Linked DNA regions of Danio rerio. The protein of the gene in region 1 purifies or fractionates together with the protein of each later gene. This does not show direct contact. Links are inferred from orthologs where the notes say so. Each region holds a gene or a part of one and is shown on either strand. Other genes may lie near its edges. The genes, in order: kpnb1, rcc1, nup50, larp7, nusap1 and rangap1b.

Region 1 (3,934 bases):
CGGGGCAGACACACACACACACACACACACACACACACACACACTCACACACACTTCTCTATTCCATCACCCAGCTTGAGGACTGATTGGTTTGGGCTTGAGACGGCCGCTGCCCCGCGCCGCACACATCAGCCGTGTTCAGTCGTCCTCATGTCTCTGTCTGCCAGATTCTCTCAGTATCGGTTGTGTTTAGCGCTGCATTTGACCAATTCCTGATCACATTTATAAATTGATGGCCGCTGCATTGATCGCCGGCGGTGCACAGGCGGCCGCTGGGATATGTGTGCTGATTGGCTGTTGGAGAGCGGGGGGGCGGGTCTGCAGGACGGGGCGGGTTAGCGAGGGTTGCGTAATGTTACAATTCTGTTGTGTATATTAAATCCCAGTTGTTCACGATGACTGCAATATGAATTATGTTAAATAAAATATTGACTTGAATGCCTACAGTGATGGAGGAGTGTCAACTACAGCCTCACACACACACACAAACTGTCTCATACACACACACAAACACAACCTCACACACGCTTTCTCACAGACACACACACACCATCTCACACACTGCCTCTTCTACAGCAATAATAAACTGAGCACACTGAGCAGGAGCGCTGTTGTGTGTGTGTGTGTGTGTGTGTGTGTGTGTGTGCTTCTGCACAGGAAGCTGCTCTAGAACTCTCCTCCGCTCGTGTGTGATCAGTGTTCCTCAGGCTGAAGGGCTCATGATCACGGCTGCAGTACACTATGCTGAAGTACACTGAAGACCTGCTTCCTGTTCCCTGTGTGTGTAGTGTTCTGCAGAGGGATTGGGACAGCTATAACGAGCCCTCAGTGTGTGTCATAATAGTGCACATCTGCAGTTCACTTCATCAAAGTGCTGAGTAATGATGACTTTGCGCCTGAAGGTGCTGTTCCTCTAGTAATCAGTGTGCCGTGGGAATCACACCACACGCTACCCCTGATAACAGTGCGCTCCGTGTCTTCATCATCTGCTCTTTCTGACCCACACTCGGTCTGACGGGCTCTTGTAATGAACGCAGTTCTCCACACTATCGAGACGCTCCCTCAGTAGGCAGCAGAGCGTCATGATGCTGCGCGTGGGCGGGACCTGTGACGTCAGCGCGTGATATCGTTCCGCGGGCGGGAGTTCCGCGCGGCCTTTTCCTCGCGACAGCGGCTGATGAGCAGAAGCGGTAACCGCGAGAACGGCTCGGCGCTTCAGCATTAGGCGTGGACCGACCGACTTTACCGACCGACTGCACTCGTTCTGCCCCCGCGGACCCGACAGGATGGAGCTGATCACGATCCTCGAGAAGACCGTGTCTCCAGGTAAGCAATCCTCACACGCGCCTCTCCCGCGCACGGATGCCGTTTCTCCCGCGTGATGACCGGGGCTGAGCCGCTTCCCCGGGTGTGAGCGACGGTTAGCGGGCGGCTAACGCAGCGCAGGCCCGGTCGCTGAACCGCGAACGCGACGCGTTAATCTCCACCCGTCGAGTGGCGAACAGCAGCCGGACCCTCGGCTCGCCAGAGCAGGAGCGGGTTACCGGCCTGCTCGGTGTGTCCGGTCTCTGCGCGGTAACGAGTGTTAATGATCAGAGTTCACACACCGACACACGGCTCTACTTCATGGTCGCGCACATGTCGCGCCGCCGTGGGGTTTGTCCCGCCCGCGCTTCTGTTGGTAAAGTTGTTAGCAGTTAGCATGCTAGTCAGGAAGTGGCTAGGTGTTAGCATGGCTAGCACTCAGTCATCCTGTGCCGCTGCCTCTGAAAGTTCGCGCGTGTACGGCCGTGTCTAGTTTACACCGACTCTCCTCCCGCTCGGAGCCCGGTAAAGCGCTGTGGCCGAGCGCGATGCGGAGTTTCCCGGTTCTGACGCGCAGCTCCGCGTTTGGCGGGAGAGTTTCACAAGCGATCGATCAGGGAATTGACTGATGATTGTGATTGATTTTCAGATCGGAATGAGCTGGAGGCGGCACAGAAGTTTCTGGAGCAGGCGGCCATCGAGAACCTGGTGATGAAGCACACACACACACACACACACACACATCAACTGTCTCACAGACACACACACACTGTACTACTGTGTTGAATTGATAGTGTGTAAATTGTTTCTGGACCAGGACTCTGTTGTGTGTGTGGATCTCAGTACTGTGCTGAGATCAGCTCCAGCAGACCACTGGTTCTCCTACAGGTGTGTGTGTGTGTAACTCTGTGTTCTGCTTCTCAGCCGACCTTCCTGGTGGAGTTGTCCAAGGTGTTGGCGAACCCGGGGAACACACAGGTGGCTCGCGTCGCCGCCGGCCTGCAGGTCAAGAACTCTTTGACCTCTAAAGACCCGGAAGTGAAGAGTCAGTACCAGCAGAGATGGCTGGCTATCGACACCAGCGCACGCAGGGAGATCAAGAACTACGTAAGGATGCTGTGTGTGTGTGTGTGTGTGTAAGAGAGAGAGAGAGAGATCTTCAGGATGCAGGAAGGTAAAGTGTGTGTTCACAGAGATCAGACACACACTCCTAAATGATGGCGGTATTTGCTCAAACGGGCTGGACCAGCTGTAGAATGTGGATCTGCAGGAGTTTAGTACTTTCACTTACAGTAGTGCAGCGCTCAGCTTCCCCTGATCACTGACGGAGCATGCTGGAGTGTGTGTGTGTGTGATGTTGATGTGAGCGTCAGCATGGGGAACTTGAGTATTCATCTTGAAGTCCTCATGGCGGTCACTCTGCTGTTCTGAGATCAGCCTTTACAGCAGCAGGAGTTCAGTGATGATCAGCTGTGGTGAAAAACTTCGCTCAGTTTCTCCTGAACATCACTGCAGATGATTATAGTTTAATATTCAGGAAACCGCAGCACCTGAACACTACACCTGCAGACAGCCGTGTTCATGATGGAGGCATCGTGTGTGTGTGTGTGTGTGTGTGTGCGCGTGTGTGTGTGCACCGCCACTGCTGTTCTTCTGCTGTGCAGACAGGCCTGTGGAGGTTTAATGGAGCTCTGTGGTAGAGCGGGTAAATTGAGCTCTGGGCTCAGCTGTGCTGTTTAAGGCCCGACTGAAACACCTGCATTATTAAAGGGCCATGAGACCCCCTCGTTTCAGCAGGGTGTTTTCACACCTCTACTCTGGAAAAAGTCAGAAAAGTGGGCGTGTCCAGCTCTGTTTAGGGGGGAGTGTCGGAGGAACTAAAGTGGGAGGGTGTGGGAGTGTCTATTTGGGCACGCGCGAGTTTCAGAGTCAAAACACACACAGTAGAAAGTGATGGTGTTTAACCTACATGCACATCTGTAGTCGAATTATTTGCCAAATGATTAAATGCTGGACTTTAACTGCAGTTTGGCTCTTTCATTCAGGGAATTCATTCATGTCCCTCGCGACAAACGAGATATGTGATTCGAGGAACTGCTCTAAGCGTGTATTTTTCATGTAATGTTTGATCCCGCACGGCGAATGAGAGAAAAAAAACTCAGCATTTCCCGGAAACTTAAATGCACTCGGCAGGTAGTGTCAGAAAGCCGCGTGTGTTATTCCGGTCACTAAATGCGGTCACAAAATCCAACACGAGGGTAAAGTTTGGTTGTGGTGCTAACGTGTTTACACTCGGTGCAATAGTTTGTTAGATATAAACAAAGAGCGCTGGTCGCTCACTTACCAAACCTGTAGAGACAGGACAATCACCAGCAACTAGAGCCGCGTCTTTATTTAGAGGAGACTACAATCCGGATCTCAGCGTTTGCAGATGAGAACAGCTCTCAGGTAAACAATAATCCTCCTTAGACACGTAAGTTATTGTTGTCGAGCGTCGCGTACACTGTTAATCCACACGTGAGTCCAGCTGCGCTCTCACAGAGAGAAAATGAAAACAAAACTTCACTGCAGCAAACTATTAAAGCAACACTTCACGCTTGTTTTGCCAACACAACGTGGCGTCTCTGTC
Region 2 (4,169 bases), on another chromosome or scaffold:
TGACTGGAAACCAGCCTGGAAGTGGCCAAAACCCCTCTAAAACCAGCCTGGTCGACCAGCTAAAACCAGCTAGATTTTTCAGCAGGGTATAGAGGCTGTTATAGTTTCCATTATAATTATTTATCATTATAACCAATAAAACTGCTACAAATTTATGGGTTTCTATGTTTTTTTTATTTATTTATAATTTTTTTTTATTATTAAAGGATGTTAAAGCTCTTTGTAAAAGAGCAGTTTACACCATCCCAGCTGGGAATTAAAGGTCTAAATACTTTTTAACCACATTTGTTCTGCATTTCATGTGTCTGCAACTTCCAAGAAAGAAAAAAAAAAGATGATTAGCAACAAATGTACAAGGATGAGGTTTCACAGTTTCGTTTTAAGGAAATGTCAGAAATGGGTAATAATCCTCATTTCAATCATGACAGAATCTACTTATTTTTCATTTGTGTCTTGTACACTTAAAAAAATACTTTTGCTGTTTGTTCTAACCACAAAAATGAGTTGAAACAAGACACAATAAGGTACAACTTAACTGTTTTAAGTTCAAACTACTTGTATAAAAAAAAGATTAAGCGAACCTAATAAATTTGTGTTGGGACAACATGGAGTGGTGGAACCCAGCATTTATTACAGTGTATAAAATATAGAAAAAAGGCAGCCATCAAATAAAACTAAATTATTTTTGTATAGATAACATCACGCGTAATTTAAAAAAAAAGGTTTTTCTTTGATTCAGCTTTTTCTTTTATTTATTTATTTATTCATTTATTTATTTATTTATTTTTTAAGTTTTTGTCTGAGATTGCCAGGTATGTATCTGAGGAGGGGTTTTTTTTCGTGACAACAAGCTTCTATAGTGCAACAGAATTACATAAACAGGACAAAAAAACTGATAAAAATCTAGTTTAAAAATAGAGGTAGTTAATGCAAATGTACAAAGTGACACGTGTTTGTATTATATGTGCAAACTGGCGTGTAAAGTACGTTGTTAAATAAGTTTGTGTGTAAAAAGAAGTGAAGTTTCTTTCACAATTACTGTCATAAGGTGTTGATGGGATGGATTGCCAGAGGGAACTGTTTCTGTGTCGGGCTGTTAAGAAAAACTAATAGTTGAAGAACATCATTAAAAACTTTTAAACGGATAAAACAACGTTTAACTATAAACACGTGCATTAAATTTGGTATTCTAACGTAAAATGACGATTAGCATGATAAAGCTAATTCTTATTTTACAGACGTTTCTACCCGCCTTCCCAATAGTTGGCGCTTCTGAGTCTGTTTATTAGCGCGAATCCACCGGGTCACACGAAGTAGTGCAAGAGTGAGACACGCGTGCGTTACATTCACTCAATGAGTTATTGATGTTCACAAACCTCCTCGAGCGAACACAAACTTTGAACCTGGGAGATTTTCATACACAAGTGTAGCTCATCATCTCAGCTGCCTGTTGACGGTAAGATTAAAAATATTAGTCTTCAGAAAGCATGAGAAATGTAGTGTATGTAGAGCTTGTGAAATGTGTTGCGGAACAAGCCTGAGCCTGTTTGACCCATTCATTGCTATTAACCTCATTTAAAGTGTCTCAACATGATTTTTGTGATGACTTTTCATCAAACTAACTTAAAGGTCACGAGAATAAAACATGGCTTCAAAATGCTATTAGAGACTGCGTTTGTTTTAAATTTTAGCGGGATGTTCCTTTAAGACGTTGAACTTGAACTCAGATCTTATTCCGCCATGTTTAAATTAGTTTCCTGCATTAAAGCTAAAACAATAACAGCCTCGTCTGTTTTCCCCCTCTAATGCCGTGTTAGCCGATTAACCGCCATCAAACATTTGCTGCTGTCAGTCACAAACCGTGAAGTCACAGCCAGAAAAAGAGGCTGTGTGTCAAAAACTCGTCAGTTGCCTGCAATGACCACATTTATAACTGTTATGATGCCAAAAAAAGATGTGTGCCTGTATAAGACCATACACGTTCACGTGCATTAATGCTATACATAGTCAATATACAGCAAAGTGGCTCTAAATGTAATGTAATGATTTATATGTTGTTTACTTAATATGAGATCTATTTTAAAATTATATTAAACAACAAAAACAAAATAAATTGAATTTACTTTTAAGACCTATTCTAGTCTATCATGTTTTTTTTTTTGTAGGCCTGAAGTTCAGTCTTGATTGCTAGATTGGTTAAATAACTTGTCTAAGAAACTATTTTTTTTTCTCTGATGCTTGTTTGTTAACCTGTCTTTATTCATAGTTTCAGGTTTTGTCAAGCATCTGGGCTTACCATGTCTGCAAAAAAAGCTGTGAAGAGACAAACAGCGGCACCAAGCGATTCAACAGTTGCGAAAAAGCTAAAAGGTCATTATTTCATAAAGACTTTTTAATGTTTCTTTAAAGCATAAGAATATTCATATAGCTATTAGGTGTAAATTTGTTGTCAGAAGGAAACAAACTATGATATGTACCTCAAATTTGAAGTTACTGTTGTGTACTCTGTTTTGTGAATATCAATATAGAGGCCTAGATATACACTCACCAGCCACTTTATTAGGTCCAACTGCTCATGAACGCAAATGTCTAATCAGCCAATCACATGGCAGCAACTCTATGCATGCCATGGCGATCTGCTGCAGTTCAAATAGAGCATCAGAATGAAGATGAAAGATGATTTGAGTGACTTTGAGCATGGCATGGTTGTTGGTGCCAGACAGGCTGGTCTGAGGCAAATGGGCAACAGCAGCAGAAGACCACACCGGGTGCCACACCTCTCAGCTAAGAACAGGAAACTGAGGCTACAGTTCACATAGGCTCACCAAAATAAACAATAGAAGATTGGAAAAATGTTTCCTGGTCTGACATTCTTATGCTAGGGTCAAAACTTGCCATCAACAACATGAAAGCATGGATCCATCCTGCCTTGTATCAATGGTTCAGGCTGATGGTGTAATTGTGTGGGGGATATTATCTTGGCACACTTTGGGCCCATTAGTATCTATTGAGCATCAAGTCAAAGCCAAAGCCTATCTGAGCATCGTGTCTGACCATGTCCATCTCTTTATGACCACAGTGTACCCATCTTCTGTTGGCTACTTCCAGCATGATAACGCACTGTCATAAAGCAAATCATCTCAAACTGGTTTCTTGAACATGACCATCAGTTCACTGTTCTTAAATGGCCTCCGCAGTCACCAGTTCTCAATCCAATAGAGCAGGGGTCACCAATCTCGTTCCTGGAAGTCCGGTGCCCTGCAGAGTTTAGCTCCAACTTGCCTAAACACACCTGCTTGGGTGTTTCAAGTATACCCAAGACCTTGATTAGCTTGTTCGGGTGTGTTTGATTAGGGTTAGAGCTAAAATCTGCAGGACACCGAACCTCCAGGTACAAGTTTGGTGATCCCTGCAATAGAGCGTCTTTGAGATGTGGTGAACGGGAGATTTGCATCATGGAAGTGTAGATGACAAATCTGCAGCAACTGTGATGCTATCATGTCAATATGGACCAAAATCTTTGAGGAATATTTCCAGTACCTTGTTGAATCTATGCTGCGAAGGATTAAGGCTGTTCTGAAGGCAAAAGGGTCGAACCCGGTACTAGTATGGTGTACCTATAAAAGTGGCCAGTGAATGTATATTGATTTGCTTAACAAATTCTAGTTATGGGTTTAGATTAATGGATTTATTTTATCTCTGGAGCCACTCATTTTGTGCCACATGCCTCTGAATGTTTCTATTTTTGTTGATTTGTAGTCTCTCATATCAGTCATGGCCAGGAGAAGGGCCTGGTGCTTGTTCTGGGTCAGGGTGATGTTGGTCAGCTTGGCCTGGGAGAGGATGTGATGGAGAGGAAGAAACCAGCTCTAGTGACTCTTCCTGAGGGTATTGTGCAGGCAGTAGCTGGAGGAATGCACACAGTCTGCCTCAGTGACACGGGAAACGTAAGCTCTACACAAATAACATTAATCATAACAGGCTTGAATAGTCATGTTAGTGGGGATTTGAGGTCAGGACTAAAGTTTTTTTTGTTGTTTTTAATGTCGACTTGTAGGTTTATACATTTGGCTGTAATGATGAGGGTGCGCTGGGCCGGGACACATCTGAGGAGGGTTCAGAGACGGTGCCAGCAAAGGTGGATCTTGGAGAGAAGATCATTCAGGTCT
Region 3 (3,500 bases), on another chromosome or scaffold:
TCTCTATATTGTTTACCACGCTATTTTTAATATATTCAGTCAGAATTAGCATGCTAGTATGACTTCAAAACAACACCATCACTATCTAGTTGACTGTAAACATGGCTGTGCTTTGATAGTCATTGGCTGCTAATGATTTCCTAATTCAGAATTAGCAAAATATACTTTTCTAAAAGGATATCATTACTGTCTGAATATCCAAATATAAACTAACTTTACCTCAATTCTAAATTAGGAAATCAAATTAGCAGCCAATGACTATCAAATTATATTGTGTTGGTGTTGTTTTAAAGTCATACTCGCATGCTAATTCTGATTGAATATTCAAAATAGCGTGGTAAACCCTATATAGAGACAGTTAAATGAACGAAGGTGCGAATATAAAACCAAATTTACCTCAGTAACCAACCTGTAGACTTGAACTAACCGTTTATTTAGCCGGATAACTTATCACGTGACGAGTTGTTCACCCTGGAAAAAGTGTTTACTCAACATTTTTAAAGCCTACTGTTGCTTTTCTCAATTTGTTCATATTCCAAATGTGTTCGTTTGCTTTCATGTGAAATCGGAAGAGAAAGTTTCATTATGTTTCTTGTTGAAGGCTTAGCTCAATTACAATTTTTGACAACTTTAAACAACAGATACATGACAATATAGTGAACAAAGTAATGCCAAGGTGATAGAAAGAAAATAACAACAGCACAAAAAAGTAAATAAATAAAACAAGAGTGTTATTAATTAACAAAAAAAAAAAGTTTTTTATTTATTTGTACATTATTAGAATTACTGCAAATGTACCAGAATTAGCCAGAAGGCTATTTTTCCTCTGTTTTCCCTGAACAACCTAAAAAAACAATACAAAAATTATACAATCAATCAAACATAGTTATGTAGATGCTAATAAAAAAATTTAAATATACAAAATAAAATAAAAAACACCAACATTTTGTAGTTCTCATAATTACAAACAAGCAGGACCTTTACATTAATGAAAAGTTTTGAAACTAGAGCACGGTTGGACGATTTTAAAGCGTTTCTATTAGCACTATGCTGAATAGTGCAAAAGTAATTTTTCAGTTCCTTATAAAGCACAATTAATCCGGGTTTTTGTTGGAAAATTAACACTTTTGAATATGAAACTGAGTTAACAAAATAAATAGGTTAATAACACAAACTTCATTAGTCAAGTTATCGTAATTAAAATATCCAAAACTTACGTTTTCAAAATTAAAATTAAAGCGTACCTGATAAAAACCGAAGCATCATAGCAAAGCTTTTTAACATAACCACAGTGCCAAAACATGTGGGGTGCGTTTACATTTAGTCATTTAGCAGACGCTTTTATCCAAAGCGACTTACAAATGAGGACAAGGAAGCAATTTACACAACTAAGAGCAACAATGAATAAGTGCTGTAGGCAAGTTTCAGGTGTGTAAAGTCTAAGACGCAAAAACATTAGTAAATTTTTTTTATGTAATACAGTTAGCGGTGGAGCCAGAGAGGGAATTGCAGATTAGGAAGGAAAGTGGAGACTAAATAGTTGAGTTTTTAGTCGTGTCTTGAAGACGAACGAATGTACGAGTTTTAAACTTTACCTCAATCATTTTGGATGGAAATTTCTGACGTTTCTGAACTCTTCATATATTCGTTTTTAAGTGAACTATCCCTTTATATTAGTTGACTAAATGACTGTCATGATTGTGTTTAACAGTTGAGCTGTGATGGCCAAGCGGATTGCGGAAAAAGAGTTGACCGACAGGAACTGGGATCAGGAGGATGATGGAGAAGAGGTGCGCCACTTTCCAGCACTGCACTAGTTCATTGTCAAACATCATTACTTTCCAAGTGGAAACACTCTTAACCAAACTATGCGTCTAAAACAACACTTAAAGTTACAGTCCACCTAAACATAAACATTTACTCGCCGTTTGTTTGTTTCAACCTGTTTGAGTTTCTGTCCTCTGTTGAACACAAAACAAGATACTTTGAAGACGGCTGGAAAACAGCCATTGATGTCCGTCGTATTTGGTTTGGTTCATACTATGGATGTTTTTTCCTAACATTCGTCAGAACATAATAGCTGCGTCTCATTTCAGACGCTGCAGACTTCAAAGGCGAGTCCTTCGAAGTCCACGCAGGCCGAACCGAGCGCTTTGAAATGAGATGATCTAGCCTAAAGAGGACTCATCTAGCAAGCGTAAAAGCTGCAGTTACTAATAAAATTTGTTATGACTTTTTTTTTTTTTTTCAAAGTGATTTTAAAACTTATTCTAAAGGCAAAACAAGTTTATAAAAGCTGGGAATATGTTTCCTTTGATCCGTACATGTACACACAACGTTACTCGTTTGTAAGACATGTCGTACTCTTTTTGTTTTTTAACGTGTTTAGATAGATATCCATGTAAAATAAACCTAATTTAAACATTCGACCTCGTCGTCTGTCCACAAAAATACCTCTTGCTTTCTTTGCCATCGCGTTTAATGTTCAATCGGCGTTTGTTGACTAACAATAACCAAATGCCGAGCGAGACACATGCTTCCTGTTTATACTACAACGGGCATGACCAGAGTGCGCGAATGGTCACGTGATATACGTTTTTGGTGGCGTAGTGTGGACGGAGAAATGTTCAGAGATGCTAGTGTGGACGCGGATCGTTTTTGATCTAAAACGCCATTTTAAAACTAAAACGCACTAGTGTAAACGGGGCCTAAAACACCTTACCGTTTCAGTATTAGTGTTATATTATTAATGACATCCAGAATCAAGAACGTCTGTGCTCCACGTCTGACACCTTCAAACGCCACCTTCACTTCACTGCATGTCAGCATCGTCTTCTGAGGTCAGAAGTCATTTATTAAATGAAGAAAAGATTGACGCAGCCTCTCCAAACGCAGCAATTGACGTCTTTACTGTTGATATTTGGCGCCAGTTAATCAGAAAGTGACGATTTTGTTCGCTTTGACTCGTTGGATGGAAACGCTGCTTTATTCGCGCGTCTATAATCCAGTTTTGCGCATAAATTTAATTAGCATTTTCGGATCGAAACATAGCTAATGATGGACTAAAGTTTTGAGGCAGTGTGAAGAATTTTATTAATTAGATTTTGTGCAAAGATTTAAACATAATTAAACATATTAGCCTATTCTCTCAAGCGCTTTAAGTTTAAATATAATTTTTTGTGTAGATATTTGTGCTCCGTATTTACAAATCATGCTGTGCTTCTTGCCAATTTTAACCAGGGGTAATTATTGTCTCTTCAGGCAGGAACGTTTTCGATTGCGAGTGATGATGTGATGAAAAACCGCGCCATCAAGAAAGCCAAGCGGCGTAACGTTGCAGAGGTAAAACCCTTCCTGCATCCCAGCAGGCGCCCAGTTGTTTATTTAAAGCGATTATAGTTCACATCAATACTGCTGTTTTGTCGCAGGGAGAGAGTGGAGGGGCTTTCAAAGCGTTTAAGGGGTTTTCTCTGGCTCCAGCCACAGCGACGGCTTCGTTC
Region 4 (3,500 bases), on another chromosome or scaffold:
AACAAATAAAACATCTTGCCAGGGTATGCTGTGTGTAATCCACCACTGACAGTGACATAAGACACCTTATGCAGCACCTTTCAACTGCCGCTTGTGTAAGAGAGCTCAAAGCTGGTATCGATATTTCAAAAAAGCAAGATCATATAGTTATAAATATTCCATAACAATACTTATCAAAATATTTATACGTTTACATGTTGTTTATTGAGATTTTTGAGATGTGCGATTGTATAGGCTGTCTGATCTTTACAGAAGCTGTAAACTGACACGCGTGCTGTGATGTTTAGCTCGGACGAGGCGATTTTATTTAGCCTGTAGTCTTTAGATTTTTTACACAATGTTTAATTTCTTAACATTTCTTTCTTTTTTTATTTATAGTTTATATATAAAATGAGTGCTAGCTTGTTTAGTTGTGATCATTATGCAAGGATCATATTTCATATTCGGTTTATTCTTCAACAGTATATATATTTGTTAATAATGAATTTTTATAAATGGATTGTTCATAAGGACTAAGCTATTAATATATAATGCATTAGGCTAATTAATACATTAAGAAATTGAAGTCAGGTAGGACAACAAAATACAACCAAACATGTTCCCCCTGTTGGCAAATTTAACCAAAAAGTATCTTTGCGTGTGCGCAACAAGCTGCGCATCTGAGAGTGTGTTCAGCACGATGGGGAACATAGTGAGTCCCACAAGACCCCATCTTAAGCCACAGATGGTAAACATATTGGCCAGGATTCCTGGCAAAGAACATGTAAAAATCACTGTTAATAAATGCCAATTTACAGTGTTTTATTTATTTCTTTTCATTAAAAGACTGTGTCGAGCTGTCATTTTTGTAATGTAATTTTGAAAGTTTTTCTTAAATATTTGTTTCTTGTTCATTCGTTTAATCTTATTTTAACTTTGTGCAATTTAATTATTTATCTTTCTATTTTATTATCTTGTTAGTTTTAAAAACATTCTAACATTCATCACATTCGTCCAAAACTGAAAGTATTATACGCACGCATTTATAAGCTATTTAAAAGTAGAAAGAAAAGAGGAAACCCATACCCCACAGTGATACCGGTATTACCGGTGTTGTCACATGTCGATTAACCAGTAGGGAAATTTCCTCATCGTCACAACCCTAATATATATATATATATATATATATATATATATATATATATATATATATATATATATATATAAAATGTAATGGTCATTCTTGACAGTTGTTCTTGGGTCTTTAGAAACCTCTCTCACCCACAAAAGGTTCACTCCCACACCCACCACCGGAATAACCAGCTGTGAATAGTTGTGAATAACCAGCGCCCTTCACCACCCTCAATACCAGAGCTGAGCTGAGTCTCTTGAGCAATGCACGATCCCTCAACTGGTCCCCTGGTGCCGCAGCACCACTGCACCGGGTGTGTGTTCACAGTGTGCATGTTCATTGCTGTGTGTGCGCACTTGGATGGGTTAAATGCATAACACAAATTCCGATTGATCACCATTCTTGGTCATGTCATGACTTTTACTTCACATTTCTGTTTACCTATTAGATAGAACAACAGGGATTTTTTGAAAGGGCATGCAAACATTTGCTGCACATTGTCATCTGAATAAGAAATAAACTTTTACTATAGCACTTTATGCATTGCTTTACAATTCACAGCTATATAGTATTAAACTTTTTTTTTTCGATATTGCTATAAAGAGCTGCAACCTTGATGGACTAAAGAGAGGAAAGAAACCAGATTAGTTTTCCTCAAAAATTACAAAGTCTAAGTGCACAACTACCTAATGCATAATATAATCGGCACAGACAAATGGGAATTGGAAGGGGTTTACCAGCTTATGCCAAACATCTGAAATGTAACATAATTTGGGCTAGATATTTTTCAAAATAAACCAGTTTACAAATTGGTTCAGTTCAAAATTACACTAGTTTATCTAAATGCATATACTCAAACTCATTATGCAAACATTTCACAGAGACAATTTTTAATGAATCTCAATTCTAAAACAATAAACACAGCTTTTCTTACTTTGAGAGGACTCTGAGAGGGATGACTTCCTCCCCTACTTTCAATCTCTCTTTGAGCTTCTTCTTTCTCTTCCTCTTGGCCTTCAAAACAGAATCATCTTTCTTCTTCAAGCTGTTCAACTCTTCATTCTTGTTCTCAGATGATAGATCTATGAAGGAACATGAATAAACATAAGTACATAACCTCAGTGTTTTGTTGTTTTTTTTTTCTAAATGTCATACTAGGAGTGTTAGGGAAAGTTATTTTTGAAAGTAGTGCAGTGTTTCCCCTACCATAATTTTAGGGGGGGCGCCCCACCCTCTCAAGGGCTTTCCCCGGCCCCTTGAAGTCAAGTTGATTGCATTTTATATATAGCACCAGATCACAAGTTCTTTTAATTAACAAGCTAAATAGCCATGTGTAGTATCTTATTTACACAACGGCATGACATTTCTGTCTCTACATGGTCGCATGATTACAAATTTCTGCTCTCTGAATCGCGCATGGTGGAGTTCACACTCTCTGCTGTGTGAGAATGAGTGCATGCCAGATCTGACAGGAACGAAGATGCACGTGCACTCCCGTATATTATGTATAGAATACAGCAGATACAACACAGGTAAATGATGTGCAGGGGCGATCAATGTGTTCGCGTCACAGTGACAGCAGCTAAAAATATATACAGATGCAGTGCGACTTGTTTACAGTTTATTGGTGAGACTCGCGCGCCTAATGCTCAGCTCTCTTTATTGCAAGTGCAGCCATAGCATCCCCACTGTTTTGAGCTGATGTGGCGCAGCCAGTCACCCCTATCTAGCATCTCATCCAACCATATGACCTGTCCCGGAAGCTCCACGAGTCTCCTGTAAATTTATACCAGCCCTGTTATCCCCAAAAATGAGTTAAAATACTCAGAAATCAATCACAGCGACAAGAGTGAATGAGCAAGAGTACAGATCATGAGAGGCAATGTAATAGCATTACAATTCTTCGGTTAAATTAATACAGCAGTAAAGACATCAAAAGTGCAAATCCCCCTATCTCTCTCACCATTGAGTGATCTGCTGTCAATAGTTGGAAACAAGCAAAATACTTGAATGGTCATGCATATGTTTAGGCCTTTTTACATATAACAACTGAAAGTTCGGTTTGACAATACTGCAAATTCACTAAAAGCTGGCTGGGATTATTAGATAAATAAAACTTTATTCTTAACATGAATATTTAATAATATAAATTCTTGTAATACACGCATTGCTATAAACAGTAGTTTATAGACCTCTTTCCTTTTAGTAAAAGGGTATTAGATTTATAGGTGTGCATTTTAACTTCTTATGCATCAAAAGCTGCAAAAATCCTGATCGGACATTTTGCTTGAAGATTTTAAGAAATGTTTGGTTGAGGTTGTCTGCTTATTTGTTTATACTGAACATGAAGCAGTAACTTTAGAATAAGCTGCAATTTTAGCAGATGGTT
Region 5 (4,126 bases), on another chromosome or scaffold:
TACTGTGCGTGCATAAATATACTTGCTGTTTTAAGTGCTGAGGTGCTTAATTTGATTTTCTTAGAAATATAAAGGTAAGTGCAAAGGTATCTTATACACACACTATACTTTATATAAGAGTCAAAAAATAAGCCTTTTTTCCACTGTAACTAATGATCAACAGAAAAATAAATATAATGTAACCTATTCCTAACAGGGGAAAAAAAAAAACAACAATCAAGAATACATAATATTATGGTATCATGGTTTTGCGATCAAAGCAAAAATGTTATAATGTAAGCCAATGGGCAAAAAGAGCCCTTAACATAACAAAAGGGTAATGCATTTGCCCAGAGTGTATTGTTGAGTTTGACACATTTTCCCCCCAAAAATTGTCAAAATAAGATGTCACCAAAAGTCATTTCATTTTCTAAAAACACAGGTGGTGGCCAAATTACACATCAAATGTCACATTTGAGTGGATGAAAACATCCCTAACAACAGCACACAAGAGATAAGTTGAAGTCAAAAGAAGATAATGTGAAGAAATATTTGTAACAATTGACTTCCATTGTAGGAATAAAATACTATGGAAGTCAATGGTTAACGTTACAGCTTTAAAATATCTTCTTTTGTGCTTAACAGAAGAAAGAAACTCATAAAGGTTTGAAACTAACAAAAGATGAGTAAATAAATGACGGAGTTTGCATTTTTGGGGTGACCTATCCCTTTAAACAAAAATGTCTCTGCAGTAACTTGGTCATAACAGGCAGCACATCGCCCCCCGCGTGTTTAGTGTATTTCACAAAACCTTTTAAGACGTAATGAGGTAAGTTTCGAGTTTAAAATGAGGTAAAATATAACTTACTCAAACAAATGACACTTTGGCTGCTCTCCACTTCCCCGCAGACGCCGAGAGAGTCTCCAAGCACAGTGTTGCATGTTATGCATTGGAAAACGATGCAATTCCTAAAGTCTACCATGCAGATTTCTTTATCCTTCACCGCTTGAAGCTGTTCTACAATTGAACTTGACTGTGTCGAGTCACATGGACCGATATCATAAGAGCTTTCGAGTAAACTCCGAGTGCTGTTCGCCATTATCGCATAGAGATTTGTTTCTACTGTGGATGTTGCTGTGGACAGCTCACACACAAGTTCAAAAGACGCTTCGTTTATTGTTTTGAACGTAAGGTGGCGCTCTAAACTGCTCAATCAAAACCCGCCTTAGCCGTTGACTTTAAGCCAATCAACGTCAACCAGATGATAAATCTATTTCTTATTGGATATAATACAACGACGTCATACACTCTTTAACCAATCATCTCCATGAAATCTGTTTTTGAAACACGGTATTTTTTCAAACGACAATCACAAACCCAAACTAACCGATCCGACATCAGAGAGCAGTCGATTACTGTATTATACTTGTGCCTCTTCAACTTACGTCGATTTTATAGGCAATAACATGGATTTAGACTCGCTAAAATATGCGGAATTGCAGCGCCTCGCCAAAGAAGTGGGACTTAAAGCGAATATGAAGGTAAGTTTTGTTGTATAAGATAAAGTGGTGCAGTTCGTTACTGTTTACATGCAACCAGACATGTGATGTAAATCCAGCATGGTTTTAAACCCACCACATTTAGTTTATAGACATTAAAGTATTATAGCATGTTGCTACATTTAAACTTAACGTTACCTTATCTTGTTCAGTAACTTTACGCATTGCTGTTTTAACTTATTCAGCACTTTGATTTGATAGGCTGAAAGGCTGTTGAAGGCTTTAAAAGAACACTTTTCACAACAGCAGCTTTCTGAGAACGTGAGTAATGTCTTTGGGATTTAACAACTATAAGAAATTTTAAATCTGACTATTAGCTTAAACGCCGTGGCCGTTGTTTGCAGGGCAATGACGCTGCCGCTTCGGACGCGCACGATTCTGTTCCTCCTGTGGACGCGCACGCTGCAACATATGTGACCGAGCGCAGAGGAAAGGGCCGCACCGCCAAGAGGAAGCTCAGTGAACCAACACCGATCATTTCTCCGGTACACAAATCACATTTACTGACTACTTTATCTTTCATTTGTATGTATTGGAGTGAAATATGTATTTTTGTTTTTAATGCATATTCTTTAGACTGAAGAAAAAACACCACAAGATGAGGGTCGAAGGGGCTCCAAGAGAAGAAAGGTGTCTTCAGCCAAGGATACACAGACTCCAGTTCCAGCTGAAGCTTTCGCTAAAGAGAATACTATGGAGAAAGAATCTGGAGATCTAAATCCAGATTCTGAAAGTGGTCCAACAGAAACGGGTGTGAAAGGTAATGATTGTTTTAATGAATTGTGCTCATTATTAGGAGTGATTTTTTTAACTCACTGAATCACTTGTGCTTGTACAGTGTATGTAGTGATGACTAGTAATATGAATTACAATATTGGTGATGCAGGGAGAAGAACAGTTGGTAAAATTCCCCGCCATAAAGGTCTGATGAAGAGAAAACCTGCAATGCGGCCGACAACTCCTAGTAATATAATATATTCAGTTTTATACAGGACAACAAAATATATATTTTACATTCTCTAATAATAAAAAAAAACAGTGTCTTTAATTGATCGTTTCATCTCTTATTAATTTTAAGCTCTTCTCTTTAATAATGCATTTTCAATTACTGTTCCCCAGACTTCAAGAAACTCCACGAGGCTCACTTCAAAAAGATGGAGTCCATCGATTCGTACGTCCAAAGAAAGAACAAACAAATGGAAGTGCTCAGGAATTCAGTTAAAGAGCTGAAGGTAACAGAGAAATAACATTAGAAACTTTAACCTAAATAAAAATTAGAAATGTTGTCTTGGAAATCAACTTTAACAATATTTTTAATTTTATTGTTGTCATCATTGTTAATATTAATATTATAATTAGTATTTTATATCACTTCAAAATATGTAAGTAAAAAAGGATACTACAAAACAAAATAAAAAGGTCAAAATACACTACAAAATAAAAAGGATAGTTCCTTGGTGATTCGTATAAATGGCAGTCAATGGTTCTTGTTATTTTAGAACAGTAGTTCCCAAACTTTTTGCTGTGTGCACCCCTTTTTAATATTTGAGACCTGTTAAGCACTCCTTTCTCCGATTAAACTCCATGTTTTTAACTACAATAACTAAATACTTATTTTTCTGTGTACGTTATTAAAATAAAATACGTAAATTTAAAGGATGAGCTTTTATGAATTTGACAATTTTCACAGCGTCATGCATAGGTTGTAAATAACAATTTGTTATGTGATTTTTTTTTTCGTTGTAATATTTGTAATATGACATGTGAAGTTTACCAAAGATAAATGCATAAAAATAATAAAAGATAAAAAAATTTCCATTACAAACATTCTCTAGCGCACCCCTGGTGGTCAGACTGCACACCCCTTGGTGCACGCACCTCAGTTTGGGGACCACTGCTTCAGATAAAAACAAATGCATACAAAAATATCCTGGTGGCACACTGATGTGTTGTAAAAAGAACCGATCAGTCTGTGTAGGAAATGTAACATTATTTAAAATACTATTAGCTTTAATTCACAGCCTGGGCAAACAATTCTTGGTCTATGCACGAGTGTGTTGAATGCAAGTATATTTTTAATTAAAAAAAAAACAGTAACCATTGACTGCCATTATATAAATCATTAAGGAGCTATCACTTTTAACATATATTTAGTAATATAAAAATAACTTAAATTAATATATATATATATTTTTTAAAAAGGTTGCACAAAATATTTCAAAGATCTATAATGTAGTTAAAACAGAAATAGATTGAACATTTTCTTCAGGTATCTGAAGTTTAGTTTACACTTACTATTATTTACTTTTATCATTTCAGACCCTGTCAGAAAAGACACTGAAGAAACCCGAGGCAAAGGCTCAAACTGTAAGTCACTATAGGTTCAGATATCAATTGATCAATCTTTTATGATTCTGTTTGAATTGCCATGTACCCTGATCAGTTCTTGTGAAATGTTGTGTTAAAAATGGCATAGTGTCATCTTTCTAAAACTGTGGGGAGGGTATCTTCAAATATGTTTGAAAAAAAAGTTATGTTTTTGAACGTTGAATTGTTTAAATTCAGCAAGGTTTTTCTTTCTGAAAGT
Region 6 (4,147 bases), on another chromosome or scaffold:
TCTCCATTCTCTTCCATCACATCCTCTTTCAGGACCACAGACCTCTGAACAGCATCCCAGTACACAGTGGCTCTCTGAACATCTTAAACAATTTAAAAAGACCACATATATCAATAAACATTATAGGTTGACTTGTTTTATATTGTCTTGGTTTGATAAACAAATGCCAAGTATGATAACAAGTTTGTTGTAGTTCTAGCCAAGCGTTTTCAACTTGGTTAAACGGATATTTTACGCAAAAAAGAGAGAAAATTGACTCGCTATATACAGTAGCCTACTCAACCTCGAGTGGTTCCAAGCCCTATGAGTTCAAGATATTTAAGAAGAAAATCGTTTAAAGAAAGTTGAAACCCTGTATCCATATATCCATAGTAGGAAATGAGTCGGTTACTGGTTTTCAGCTTTTTTTCAAATGTGTTTTGCAGAAAAAAGGTAGTTCAAACTGGTTTGGAACAGGTAGAGGATGAGTTAATAATGACAGTTGTATCTGAACAATCAATTTAAGGAATACTAGCCTTCTAATGTTATGTAAACATACAAAAGGACATGTTACCACTAAAACGTGACTTTAAGTGAGTGGAATTAATTTAAAATACTCACGCTGAGCCATTACGAATGTCGCCGCGAGGACGCACAATATAAATACCCTTGTGACGTTAAATCGATACATGTTTCACGCTGAATTAGACTAAGCTTAAGTTTACTTTCTGGATCTGGTTAATCATGGTATGTAATCTGTAATCAAACACTGGGCAAATATAACATCCCAGAATATAATGCTAGACTAAAGTACGAAAAACCAAGATTTGGTTATTCAATTTAGAACTTAAAGACGTTGTATGTCCACATTAACTGGTTTTCTGTCGCAGATCGCCTTGTGTGTGATTAAAAGATTTCCACCCCAGATGGGACTCGAACCCACAATCCCTGGCTTAGGAGGCCAGTGCCTTATCCATTAGGCCACTGGGGCTTGCGTCATGGAGTGTGTAGAATGTGTATTACAAACGGTCTTATAAACGGAATGCAAGTCGTACATTTAATCTAACTTGTTTTACCAAATTTTAAATATAATTAGTAAATACAAATGATTTGTTATTCAGCTATATATTTACATGAATCAGCATTCTTATTTAAGTCACACATTTGTCTAATGTTAAATTTATTTCAACGTGCAACATTTTATTGATTTATTATAAAAATAAAAAAACAGTAATAAAAAACAGTATTTAAACAGTATTTAAATGAAAAATTTAAACCGAAAAATAATGACGTTTTCAGTAACGCTGTGCTATTATAACAATCAAAAATATTAATCGTGCTTTTATTATGAAAGATCATGACACCGGCACTTTCAAAGGACTGCCGCCTCCATGTGCCTCCTGTTTTGATGGTTTTATTCTGGTAACGTAAGTTAGTTATCTGCTATCTTCCTCCATTAAAATCCGCGCCGAGGTGTGAGGTAAATAGAAAACATTCACTTACTTTTTTAGATTTAACCAAAGTTCCTGCGCTAAATTAGCTAGTTTGAAGTCATGAATGAGATTAATGCTAGTAAGCTAACTCCTCTCTGAGTTAGCTTAAACCGTTTGTGTATCAGCCGTAGTACCAATGATGCAATGATATTATCATACTAGCTAGCTGTTTGAGGACTATATTGAGCTTAGTAATACTGTTTAAAGTTCATCAAGCACATTTCAAATATAACACGTAGCGTTATTTCTTTGGCTGTCATTTATATCCATGTTTAGAGATAACGTTAAGCTAGCAGTGGCTATATTAATATTACAGTCTTAATAACAATGAAGTAAGATTAAGGATGTACTTTTTATATATCCTAAATAAATTCATATGATTGTGAGGTATGTTTTAGGTTTAACGAGATACATTTTTGAAACACACTTATGTCTTACTAACTTTATTAGAAGAGAAAACGGGGAAAGCAATGGCCTTAGGGGATATTGCTCAGATTACAGAGGCTCTGGCCAAAACTCATGTTGGAGAAGTGGAGTTAAGTTATAAGGGACGAGGGCTGAAGCTGGACAATGCAGAATCAGGTGAGTAAAACGTTCTCTGTATTATCAAATTTGTTTATTTTTCATGTCTTAATCCATAAGCAACATCTCTTGGAATTCCCTCCTTTTCTTTTGTTACAGTGAAAGAGATTGTGGAGGACATTGAACGGTGTCAGGGTCTGCAGTCTCTCCGGTTAGAGGGAAACACATTGGGTGTTGAAGCAGCAGATGCCATTGCGAAGTCGCTTGAAGCTAAACGTGAACTGGAGGTAGTTTTAAATTACTAGTAGACATATGCAATAAACTGAGATAACGAGCATACACAATATTGATATCATGGGCTCTTCAAAATGTTAGTTAACGTCTTATAATGCATAAAAAATGTTGATTGGAGTTAATGGCTAATACTGGTCAGTTGAATTTTTGACATACTAACTTAAACATAGTTACTATAACTGCCCTTTTTCTCAGTGTTAATTTTAAATTTAATGCATTAATTAACAATTACTATTAGGACTTTATTGTAAAGTGTAAAGTGTTACCTAGTGTATTAGTGCAATTAAATTTGTTTGAAACATTTGTTTGCTCTCAGCAGATATGTACAATTAAGCAATACAATAATTGTTTGTTTTTCTACGTTACATGAACCTTTTTGCAACTTTGGTTAATATTGTGACAATTGTGGTATAATGTACAGTGATAAAACCTTCAGGATTTAATTGCAGCAAGAAAATCTGATACCATCCTAAACCTAAATACCACTGCACAGTTTTTACTTTCACTTTGCTGCTTTTATAACTTGTCTTTTTTTTTTCTCTCAAAGCAATGTCATTGGAGTGACATGTTTACAGGCCGCCTTCGCTCTGAAATTCCACCTGCTCTGGTAAGCTTTTGTATATCCAGTTAAAAACATTTATTTATTTCTTTTAGGGCTGCACAATGTGATGCACAATCACATTCAGGTATAAGAAATTGTACCTTTTTTTTTTACCATAACTGATTATATTAATGAATTATTTTTATCATTCAGTTACTGTACTTGAATATTGTTTGACTCAGGAAATAATAAAACACTTTATTTCAATTGTATTTTTCTTTCTTGATTGTATTTATGGATTGTTAAGCATAAAATACTCAAAACACATGCAAAAACAGAAATACACTGTAAATAGCACAGACCACAATGAAAATGTGTCGGGGTACCTGTAAAAATGTATAGATTGTTTATTAGATTTTATAGAGGTGCTTTTCCACTGCAGTATCATCCCAATCGATCTAACATTATAAATTCTTCCCAAATAAAGATATTATGAAGTTATCTGGTGAAATTGTATTCTTAGCGCAATGTATATCGCAAGATAAGAAAATATTGCAATGTTAGATTTTTCAAATATTGTGCAGCCGTAATTTCTATGCATTCTTCAAGTAAATTGTTTTCATTCAAAACAATTCATTCTTCATTTTTCATTCAAAAGTAAATTGCTGATATTCTAACCAACGGTTTTCTCCAATTTTAGAAATCACTGGGCAATGCTTTGATGACGTCAGGGGCTCGCTTGACTCAGCTGGACCTGAGCGACAATGCTTTCGGCCCTGATGGAGTGAAAGGAATCGAAAACCTCCTAAAGAGCTCTGCGTGCTACACTTTACAGGAGCTCAGGCTTAATAACTGTGGCATGGGCAGTGGAGGAGGGGTGGTAAGTTTAGTATTAAAAAAACTCTGGTCCAACCTAAGAAAACCCTGTTTATCTGCTTGTTATTAGGTCAGTGAAGTAGGCTTTTGCTCTCTGACATGATTATAAACGTGTTAATACTTTTTGAGGTTTACAGCACAGGTTTGTCTGTGTATTTTATTTATTTATTTATTTTTTTTATTTATTTATTTTTTTAGGTCCTTGCTTCTGCATTGACTGAATGCCATAAGCAGTCAAGTGCTGCTGCCTCCCCACTGAGGTTAAAAGTCTTCATAGCTGGACGTAATCGCCTGGAGAATGATGGTGCCACTGCACTTGCCAAAGCATTTAAGGTCTGAGGCATAACTTATTCATCTATATATATCATGATTAAGTATCTGGGTGCACATAGATGCATTAAATATGTAAATGAAGACTTTATATTTTTCAAGACCTTATTAG

Evidence for each region.
Region 2: the proteins of kpnb1 (region 1) and rcc1 purify together in Homo sapiens (affinity purification with mass spectrometry; 3 studies listed by BioGRID and IntAct, counting the BioPlex papers as one, with this or other methods). This does not show direct contact. The link is inferred for Danio rerio from reciprocal best matches to the Homo sapiens genes KPNB1 and RCC1.
Region 3: the proteins of kpnb1 (region 1) and nup50 purify together in Homo sapiens (affinity purification with mass spectrometry; 4 studies listed by BioGRID and IntAct, counting the BioPlex papers as one, with this or other methods). This does not show direct contact. The link is inferred for Danio rerio from reciprocal best matches to the Homo sapiens genes KPNB1 and NUP50.
Region 4: the proteins of kpnb1 (region 1) and larp7 purify together in Homo sapiens (affinity purification with mass spectrometry; 3 studies listed by BioGRID and IntAct, with this or other methods). This does not show direct contact. The link is inferred for Danio rerio from reciprocal best matches to the Homo sapiens genes KPNB1 and LARP7.
Region 5: the proteins of kpnb1 (region 1) and nusap1 purify together in Homo sapiens (affinity purification with mass spectrometry; 3 studies listed by BioGRID and IntAct, counting the BioPlex papers as one, with this or other methods). This does not show direct contact. The link is inferred for Danio rerio from reciprocal best matches to the Homo sapiens genes KPNB1 and NUSAP1.
Region 6: the proteins of kpnb1 (region 1) and rangap1b purify together in Homo sapiens (affinity purification with mass spectrometry; 3 studies listed by BioGRID and IntAct, with this or other methods). This does not show direct contact. The link is inferred for Danio rerio from reciprocal best matches to the Homo sapiens genes KPNB1 and RANGAP1.

What each region holds. Positions count from the first base shown.
Region 1 is NC_133194.1:51,598,584-51,602,517, forward strand, and holds the start of kpnb1 (importin subunit beta-1), read left to right. Parts: upstream 1-1,134; 5' UTR 1,135-1,286; coding exon 1,287-1,326; intron 1,327-1,954; coding exon 1,955-2,013; intron 2,014-2,229; coding exon 2,230-2,412; intron 2,413-3,934.
Region 2 is NC_133191.1:37,422,222-37,426,390, reverse strand, and holds the start of rcc1 (regulator of chromosome condensation), read left to right. Parts: upstream 1-1,369; 5' UTR 1,370-1,456; intron 1,457-2,266; 5' UTR 2,267-2,297; coding exon 2,298-2,370; intron 2,371-3,759; coding exon 3,760-3,947; intron 3,948-4,057; coding exon 4,058-4,169. UniProt on the Homo sapiens protein: Guanine-nucleotide releasing factor that promotes the exchange of Ran-bound GDP by GTP, and thereby plays an important role in RAN-mediated functions in nuclear import and mitosis.
Region 3 is NC_133179.1:71,993,290-71,996,789, forward strand, and holds part of nup50 (nuclear pore complex protein Nup50), read left to right. Parts: intron 1-1,677; 5' UTR 1,678-1,721; coding exon 1,722-1,790; intron 1,791-3,261; coding exon 3,262-3,342; intron 3,343-3,428; coding exon 3,429-3,500. UniProt on the Homo sapiens protein: Component of the nuclear pore complex that has a direct role in nuclear protein import. Actively displaces NLSs from importin-alpha, and facilitates disassembly of the importin-alpha:beta-cargo complex and importin recycling.
Region 4 is NC_133182.1:62,353,776-62,357,275, forward strand, and holds part of larp7 (la-related protein 7), read right to left. Parts: intron 2,194-3,500; coding exon 2,046-2,193; intron 1-2,045. UniProt on the Homo sapiens protein: RNA-binding protein that specifically binds distinct small nuclear RNA (snRNAs) and regulates their processing and function.
Region 5 is NC_133188.1:36,694,674-36,698,799, reverse strand, and holds the start of nusap1 (nucleolar and spindle-associated protein 1), read left to right. Parts: upstream 1-1,326; 5' UTR 1,327-1,446; coding exon 1,447-1,521; intron 1,522-1,740; coding exon 1,741-1,800; intron 1,801-1,883; coding exon 1,884-2,024; intron 2,025-2,115; coding exon 2,116-2,299; intron 2,300-2,425; coding exon 2,426-2,503; intron 2,504-2,658; coding exon 2,659-2,771; intron 2,772-3,858; coding exon 3,859-3,906; intron 3,907-4,126. Other genes in the region: oip5 (protein Mis18-beta), read right to left, coding at 848-1,079. UniProt on the Homo sapiens protein: Microtubule-associated protein with the capacity to bundle and stabilize microtubules. May associate with chromosomes and promote the organization of mitotic spindle microtubules around them.
Region 6 is NC_133187.1:20,673,220-20,677,366, reverse strand, and holds the start of rangap1b (ran GTPase-activating protein 1b), read left to right. Parts: upstream 1-1,347; 5' UTR 1,348-1,406; exon of another isoform or gene 1,407-1,459; intron 1,460-1,922; 5' UTR 1,923-1,942; coding exon 1,943-2,054; intron 2,055-2,153; coding exon 2,154-2,281; intron 2,282-2,835; coding exon 2,836-2,895; intron 2,896-3,529; coding exon 3,530-3,709; intron 3,710-3,903; coding exon 3,904-4,038; intron 4,039-4,147. Other genes in the region: plbd1b (phospholipase B-like 1), read right to left, coding at 1-82, 601-670. UniProt on the Homo sapiens protein: GTPase activator for RAN. Converts cytoplasmic GTP-bound RAN to GDP-bound RAN, which is essential for RAN-mediated nuclear import and export. Mediates dissociation of cargo from nuclear export complexes containing XPO1, RAN and RANBP2 after nuclear export.